Rattus norvegicus: one gene and its partner. The protein of the gene in region 1 interacts with the protein of each later gene in a biochemical or structural test. Links are inferred from orthologs where the notes say so. Each region holds a gene or a part of one and is shown on either strand. Other genes may lie near its edges.

What was found. The genes of interacting proteins can lie anywhere in the genome.
Region 2: the proteins of Cav1 (region 1) and Ptgs2 form a complex in vitro, tested with the Homo sapiens proteins (2 studies listed by BioGRID). The link is inferred for Rattus norvegicus from reciprocal best matches to the Homo sapiens genes CAV1 and PTGS2.

Annotation. Positions count from the first base shown.
Region 1 is NC_086022.1:46,634,038-46,637,548, reverse strand, and holds part of Cav1 (caveolin-1), read right to left. Parts: intron 144-3,511; coding exon 1-143. UniProt on the Homo sapiens protein: May act as a scaffolding protein within caveolar membranes. Forms a stable heterooligomeric complex with CAV2 that targets to lipid rafts and drives caveolae formation. Mediates the recruitment of CAVIN proteins (CAVIN1/2/3/4) to the caveolae.
Region 2 is NC_086031.1:64,712,563-64,716,870, forward strand, and holds the start of Ptgs2 (prostaglandin G/H synthase 2 precursor), read left to right. Parts: upstream 1-1,500; 5' UTR 1,501-1,644; coding exon 1,645-1,696; intron 1,697-2,430; coding exon 2,431-2,547; intron 2,548-2,669; coding exon 2,670-2,813; intron 2,814-3,430; coding exon 3,431-3,574; intron 3,575-4,121; coding exon 4,122-4,303; intron 4,304-4,308. UniProt on the Homo sapiens protein: Dual cyclooxygenase and peroxidase in the biosynthesis pathway of prostanoids, a class of C20 oxylipins mainly derived from arachidonate ((5Z,8Z,11Z,14Z)-eicosatetraenoate, AA, C20:4(n-6)), with a particular role in the inflammatory response.

The sequences.
Region 1 (3,511 bases):
AGCGCCATAGGGATGCCGAAGATGGTAGACAGCAAGCGGTAAAACCAATATTTTGTCACAGTGAAGGTGGTGAAGCTGGCCTTCCAGATGCCGTCGAAACTGTGTGTCCCTTCTGGTTCCGCAATCACATCTTCAAAGTCAATCTGAAAGAAAGAAGGGGCAAACCGTGAGTGCGAATAGAAGAAAAGGGGAAAATACCACATGGCATGGTTATTTGTGTGCCAGCCCTGTGCAAGGCGATCCACAGCCGTCAACTGCTTCTGCCTCCTTGGGCCTCACTGGGGACATGAACACATGGGTTCTCAGATCTGATCATTCTAGGGTGGAGCTGAGAAGCATTTTAACATACATGTCAGATACTTCTTGACTATGTCTTCAGTTGAGGATTACAGCTTTCAGGACAAATGGATGTGAGGTAAAGCGAAACTCAGAAACATGAGTAAGGACACCCAACACTCAGGAAGAGGTAAAGAGTGTGACCTAAGTTTTTACTGCCCTCAAAGACAATCATAATCCAGTATTAAGTACTAGACACATTTCGAATCAGACAAATCCATTAATGACTTTTGTAACAGGATTAACAGAATCCTTTCAGGGAGTTAGGACACTATGGGCTGAGGCACGGAGATGACTGTAGGTGGTAAAGCAGAGCTTTGGAAATGTATGTGATGGAGAAAGGAAGGTACGTGGCAATGCTGGCAGCCAAGGCTCAGGAGCAAGCAAGAATGAGACTCAGGAGTGTCCCAGGCAGAGGTGACCAGAGTGAACACATCAGAGAGACAGGTTGAGGCTAGAATGGGCATTGTTTTCCATATAATGAAGGTCTATGAAGATGTTAGAGTAGGAAAGAGCAACTACAGTTACAGAGTTTCTTCAGATCAATGTGACAATGCATGTGATTATGTAAGAGTGTGTGTTTGTGTGTCTGAGTTATGTGCATGCCTGAGCTGTTTGTGTGTGTGTGTCTAAGGTGTGTATGAATGTGTGTATGTGTGTGTTTGAGAGGTGTGTGTGTGTGTGTGTGTGTGTCTGAGTTATATGTGTGCCTGAGTTGCTTGGGTGTGTGTGTCTGAGGTATGTGTGAATGTGTACATGTGTGTGCTTGAGAGGTGTGTGTGTGTGTGTGTGTCTGAGTTATATGCGTGCCTGAGTTGTTTGTGTGTGTGAATGTTTATGTGTGTATGTGTGTGTTTGAGAGGTGTGTGTGTGTGTGTGTGTGTGAATGTGTGTATGTGTGTGTTTGAGAGGTGTGTGTGTGTGTGCCTGAGTTATATGTGTGCTGAGTTGTTTGTGTGTGTCTGAGGTGTGTGTGAATGATGTTTGAGAGGGGGATGTGTGTGTGTGTGTGTGTGTGTGTGTGTGTGTGTGTGTGTGTTGGACTAAAGGGAAAGGAAACCAACAAGGAGACTGTGGCACAGCCCAAGTGAAGATGGCACAGTCAAGATGAGAAAGTGGTTATTGAAAAAAAGGAAGAAAGAAAGAAGGAAGGAAGTGAGAAAGGAGAAAAATGGTGGAAAGGAAATAAGAGATCAAAGAGAAACTAGTTCCTGGACATTATGACAAAAACTCTTAGGACTTGGTTATTTCCAAGAGAGGAACAAAGGATGACCTCTGAACTCCAGATCAAACTGTTATGGAGAACACACATGACATTAGAGCAAGGAGAACATTAGAGAGAAAAAAATTTAACAGGACAGAACCTCACTTTAGAATTAGATAAATTGAGAATATAGATTCTGGTAACGATCACGACAAATACCAATGCTCCAAGAATCATATATGCTTCAGAAGTCCCTTTTAGGAAGCCACTGGGATAACAATCAGCCAAACTTGCAGTCACATAGCACTTACAAGTGCTTCTTTGCATTGGTGACCTGGAACAGTAGGTTCCTGTCACTTTACAAAACAAAGACAAATGGCAACTTTCTAAAGACAGAAGCAGGCACAGCAATAGGGGATCCTAGTTAGATAAAGTCCTTTTCACCTTCCCACTTGCAGTTACTTCTTAGGCTTTAGATAAACTAAATGAAGCACAAGAATAAAGGCAACTCTCATGAGGAAGGCAGAGAAAGAAACTGCTATGTGAGGGGCTCTAGCATAGTTTGAAATCCACAGAAACTGATGTTGACCAGCTGCAGCCCGGCAGAGCCCAGAGTCTAGGCTAGAGCTTAGGTTCCTTCAGTCTGCGACTCAGTGCCAAAGAGCCACCTTTGATTTAGCACACCAAAATATCTTTGGAGAAAGTACATGACGCTTACCAGTCTTAAAGTTTGTTTTCTAGAACATTCTGTTTCTTTCTCTATTGCCCAATGTCCTAATAGTATAATATGCAAAATGGTTTCATTGCAATTTTGTAAATGAAGTTAAATGGATTTATTTTTATTGTATTTTTCCTCAGTTCATTTAGAACTAGATTGAGGTAAATATTTACGTGTGTGTGTGTGTGTGTGTGTGTGTGTGTGTGTGTGTGTGTGTGTGTTTAACAGATTGTAGAATTCAGATAGCTCAGGTGCAAGCACAAAGGCATGAGTTTGGTCTTCAGAACACACTAAAAAACTAAGAGTAAACAAGCAAGCAAGCAAGCAAACGAACAAACCAAAGCCCACACCAGACATAGGGCTCAGCAAGCCAGCCACACTAGTCTAATTGGGGAGTTTAAGACAGTGAGAGAGTTTGTCCTTAATAAAAATAGATGAGTGGGTTTGGAGAAACAACCTCTGATATGTCCTCTAACACACAGATACACAGACACACAGACACACAGACACACGCACTCACATAGTGAAAAGTGGTGGGGTATAAGGGAAATTGGACCAATACTTGAACGACGTTTCTGTCCAACTTATTTATCATTGTCTATTTGCAAGGTTATAATAATAAATTCTTCCCAAAGCAATGAAAACGAGAAATTAAAAGTTTTCTTTCAATTCCTTTAAAATATATCTTTTTTTTAATTTCTTAAAAATGTCATTATTTCAAGAGCAAAACTGAAAAAGTCAAAAATGCAAAATTATCAGTAAAATTGAAATCTGGGTTCAAAAGATACACAATGCATAGTGATTTACAAATATCCTGGGAGCACACAACTGGTTGAGTGTACAAAGTGTACAAAGTGAACAAAACATGCAAAGTGTACAAAGAGTACAATGGCCCATTGCGTTCAGTACAGGGAAGATCTATTACTGATTATCCCAGAAATGACAACCAATTGTCCATGTGAACAAGAGATTGGTTTGAAGCTCAAATCTGGTCAGAGTTTGCAGGTATATAGGAATGAAAGAACCACAATCATATTTTTTTTCTTCAAATGTGGACCATTTTTTTTCTGAACAAGAGACAGTCAAGATGAATTTAAGTACCTTTGTGGTTGTATGTACAACAATGTTTCCACATTTGATTTTAGTGGGGGAAATATAGTTTTATACTGTTAGTGAAAACTGTGATTGTATTAGAACATATGAAATGTATATCACTACATTATTATCATGATTAGATGTATGTGTAGGACACA
Region 2 (4,308 bases), on another chromosome or scaffold:
GATGGCATAGGACTCCCTGTCAGGGGTTGGGAGTGCCATACACGGAATGATTAAACATGACTAGAACAAAGGCCCTTGGTGACATGGAATTTTAGTCACTATGTCTCATGTAGAATCAAACTAGCATGCACATGAAGCAAACAGTTAAAAAAATTCCATGAGCGTTCTTATTTTCTGGGAGACCTCCGAGGAGTAAGGAATTCGGTAGTTTCCGAAGGGCTGTTTCTCATGGTCGATTCCCCCATGTTGGACCTTCTCTTCTTACATTTTGTTTTGTTTTGTTTTGCTCTGGTTTGTTTTCTTTTGAGCAGGGCTCTAGCTGTGTTGCCCAGACTGCTTCAAACCAGTTTCCTGACTTAACTTTCCTGAGAATACAGTTTAATTTCAGATTTTGTGTCTTTTTTTTTTCTCCATTCATGCCAAGAACGTACGGTTTAATTGAATGTTTTAGTTTCCTCATTTTCTTGTTTTACTCGGTTTTTCACTATTCCATCCTCAGATCCCCCTCCCGGGCCAACACCAAACACAGTGGGAAGTTATTCAACAGTCAAAAAAAAATCACCTCTCTAGGCAATTAATTTTTATTATCAAGCAATGTTTCAGAAAGAAGTGGATTTTTTTTAAGGTTAGCGAGAATAAGGCCAGTTATCGGGAAAAAAGTATTATCTTTTGATCTGTTGCCATAGCATATCTTCTTGTAAACGTAAACGTGGACAAAAATAAGTCTTTAAAAGGTACATTTTAAAACAAATTCCTTTTAGTGATTTGTCCTGTGAAAGAGTTGTTGATCAAAATGATAAAAGCTATGTAACAGCAGGGAGGAAAATACCTTAAAGCAATGCGGTGGACACTTAGCATTCCGACGTGGAGCTCGGCATCTGTCTCTGGGAAAGGCGAGTGCCTGGGGCTTGCTAGGACTGCGGAGCCTGGAGGACAGTTCGGTGAAAGACTTCACTCTAACTCCACCAATGCAGATGTCACCCTGACAGCAGCCCTCTCATTTCATTAAAAATAGAATAAATTAAATACACCGGTAACTGTGTGCGTGCTCAGAGCAGCAAGCACGTCAGACTGCGCCCCAGTGGGGAGAGGCAAGGGGATTCCCTTAGTTAGGATCTCGGATCCCGGGAGGGGAAGCTGTGACATTCTCTTGCTCCTCCGGCCCCCCAGTGGATGCGGGACTGGGAGGAAACCCGAGACCTCAAAGAGAGCCAGTCTTGGAGCAGGCACAGCGAACCACAGGGCGCCTGGAAGGATGCAGAGGGCGGTGCAGCTCTCTTGGCACCACTTTGGGCAGCCGAGGGAAGCTTCCTGGCTTCTCTGGGCTCATTTGCGTGAGTAAAGCCTGCCCCTATGGGTATTATGCAATTGGAAGCGGAGATGGGGGAAAGCTGGGGGGGTGGGGGGGTGGGGAAAGCCGAGGCGGAAAGACACAGTCACGAAGTCACGTGGAGTCCACTTTACTAAGATTTAAAAGCAAGGTTCTCCGGGTTAGCGGCCAGTTGTCAAACTGAGCGGAGAGCTTCAGGAGTACGAAGACCCTGCCTACGAAGGAACTCAGCTCTGTGTCCTGCCAGCTCCCCCGCCAGCTTCACTGCCACCAACGCTGCCACAACTGCTGCCACCACCGCTGCCACCTCTGCGATGCTCTTCCGAGCTGTGCTGCTCTGCGCTGCCCTGGCGCTCAGCCATGCAGGTGAGTGAGTGGCTTCGCGCCCCGAAGCACCCCTGGAGGGACTCCTCTGGCTCAGACCCCTTTCTAGGAGTATGGGATGGGCTGTGTATTGGCAAAGCGCCTGAGCCGCTAAAATCCAAAGGAACTGCAAGGATGGCAGGGGTTTTGCCACCGCTTTCAGGTTATGAGCCATTACTCAACTGAGCAGAGAACCACTTTCATTTGCTAAAATGAAATAGTCGTAATGGTTGTCGTTATGGTAAGACAGAATTTGATCAATACTTGTGAAAAGCACGTGTGTGGGCAACCGAACAGGAGTGATTGCTTTAAATACATGTTGGAGGCTCTTCTTCCCACAGGAAAATCCAGAAGACATTCTAAAAAAATATTCAAAATCTTAAAACTTGACTATTTTACTTTTATATTCCTTACACTAAATTTTGACAAATGTACTTTTTAATTTTCAAAGGGCTAACTTAACAATTCTAGTCTGAATATCCAAGTTATTTTGAAAATGTCGATAATGTGAGCCAGGAAGTTAGGTCCTCAGCTTTTCTTGCTTAAGAATAGAAAGTTGTTATTTCTACATTACAACCATTTCATAAGACAGAATTAGTTAAAATAAAACTTTTTTTTTCTAGGACTACCTGTGTATTTGTCAAACTTACCATTGTAAAGTTGACCCATAGTGACACAATTAAATCTTTAAGATGAGTCAAGAGTGACTGACAGGCTGTCTTGTCTTTTTAATATAGCAAATCCTTGCTGTTCCAACCCATGTCAAAACCGTGGTGAATGTATGAGCATAGGATTTGACCAATATAAATGTGACTGTACCCGGACTGGATTCTACGGTGAAAACTGTACTACGCGTAAGTTTTTCTTGGGGTATATTCCTTTGGAATGGGGACACATAAGGTCACCATAATTTTGTAGATTTATGTCCTATGGGAGGCGCCTACTCAGCTCTTCCTCCCGCTTTGTCTCTCTCCAGCTGAGTTTCTGACAAGAATCAAATTACTGCTGAAGCCCACCCCAAACACAGTACACTACATCCTGACCCACTTCAAGGGAGTCTGGAACATTGTGAACAACATTCCCTTCCTTCGGAATTCAATCATGAGATACGTGTTGACGTGTGAGTACAAACCTCCCTTGTTCTCCAGCATCGAACAAAACTATGCACTAGAAGCCCGACCCAAAGAAATCTCTCCGACCTTTTCAAAACGCCTTGAAGTATACTTTCCTACCCTGCCCCCACCCCTGATATGTCTAAACCACTGTCATGTAAACCTGTAGTCTGTATCTTGGTTATGACTCCTGCCCCTCATTCCTGTGGAGGAAGTGTGGTTCACTTGTTCATTGACTATCCGTGGCTTGCAGGAATTGTTCTGAACACAAAGCACCCTTTAAACAAATGGTTCATTAGGGTTTTCTTTGGGGGTCAGAAGAGAAAATAGCTGTCTATCGTTCTGAGGGCCATGCCCAACTGTATCTGTCATCAGCTATGGAACAGGAAGTGGGTAGTACCTGAAAAGTCAAGACTACTGGAGCATAATGTCCTGTGTAAATCTTAAACTTTATTGAAGATGCATTTTCCCAGTGCCTTTTAAAGTTTAGTCATTGTAAAGCAGGGTATCTTTGTCTGAATGAAACCCAATCTCTGTACTTGATCCATTGTACAATGGATAATTGATATCCCCTTGTTGGTTTTTTTCACATGAGGTTCAATAATTTTTTTCTTTAAAATTTCAGCCAGATCACATTTGATTGACAGCCCACCAACTTACAATGTGCACTACGGTTACAAAAGTTGGGAAGCTTTCTCCAACCTCTCCTACTACACCAGGGCCCTTCCTCCTGTGGCTGATGACTGCCCAACTCCCATGGGTGTGAAAGGTGAGTACAAAGAAATAGAGACGTTGCAAGTGTACTGACGGTTGGGTGTGTACCTAGAAAAGTTGACCCTGGATTGTCCTTTTATTTAAAAACTGTAAAATAGTTTTGTCTTTAGTATGGCTGTCCACAGAGGCGTATTAAAAGTGCGGATCTATTATGTGAAAGTAAATCTCCATTTTGATATAATGTCTCAACATTAGCATCTTATGCTAAATAGAATTCATGTTAGTTATTGATAAAACTATTCAATAACTCACCCCCATATCTTAAAACATGAATTTATACCCTTAGTAAGTTAGCTTGTTGTCTGTAACCTCTAAGGTAAAGGTTAACCAATAATTCAAGACCATTCTGGGATAGAGAGTGAGTTTAGTCCAGCCTGGGGTACAAGCATGACACTGTGCCTCAAAGCACAGCCATTGTTTCCGTGCTGTGATCCTCTTGGAGTTCATGTTTTTAAGATGGATGCTCTCAGGAATTAGACAGCTGTTTGTTTGAACAAATATGTAAATGGATACATATTTACTTTAGAGTTTTCTTGTTCTAGGAAATAAGGAACTTCCTGATTCAAAAGAAGTTCTGGAAAAGGTTCTTCTGAGGAGAGAGTTCATCCCGGATCCCCAAGGCACAAATATGATGTTCGCATTCTTTGCCCAGCACTTCACTCATCAGTTTTTCAAGACAGATCAGAAGCGAGGACCTGGGTTCACCCGAGGACTGGGCCATGGAGTAAG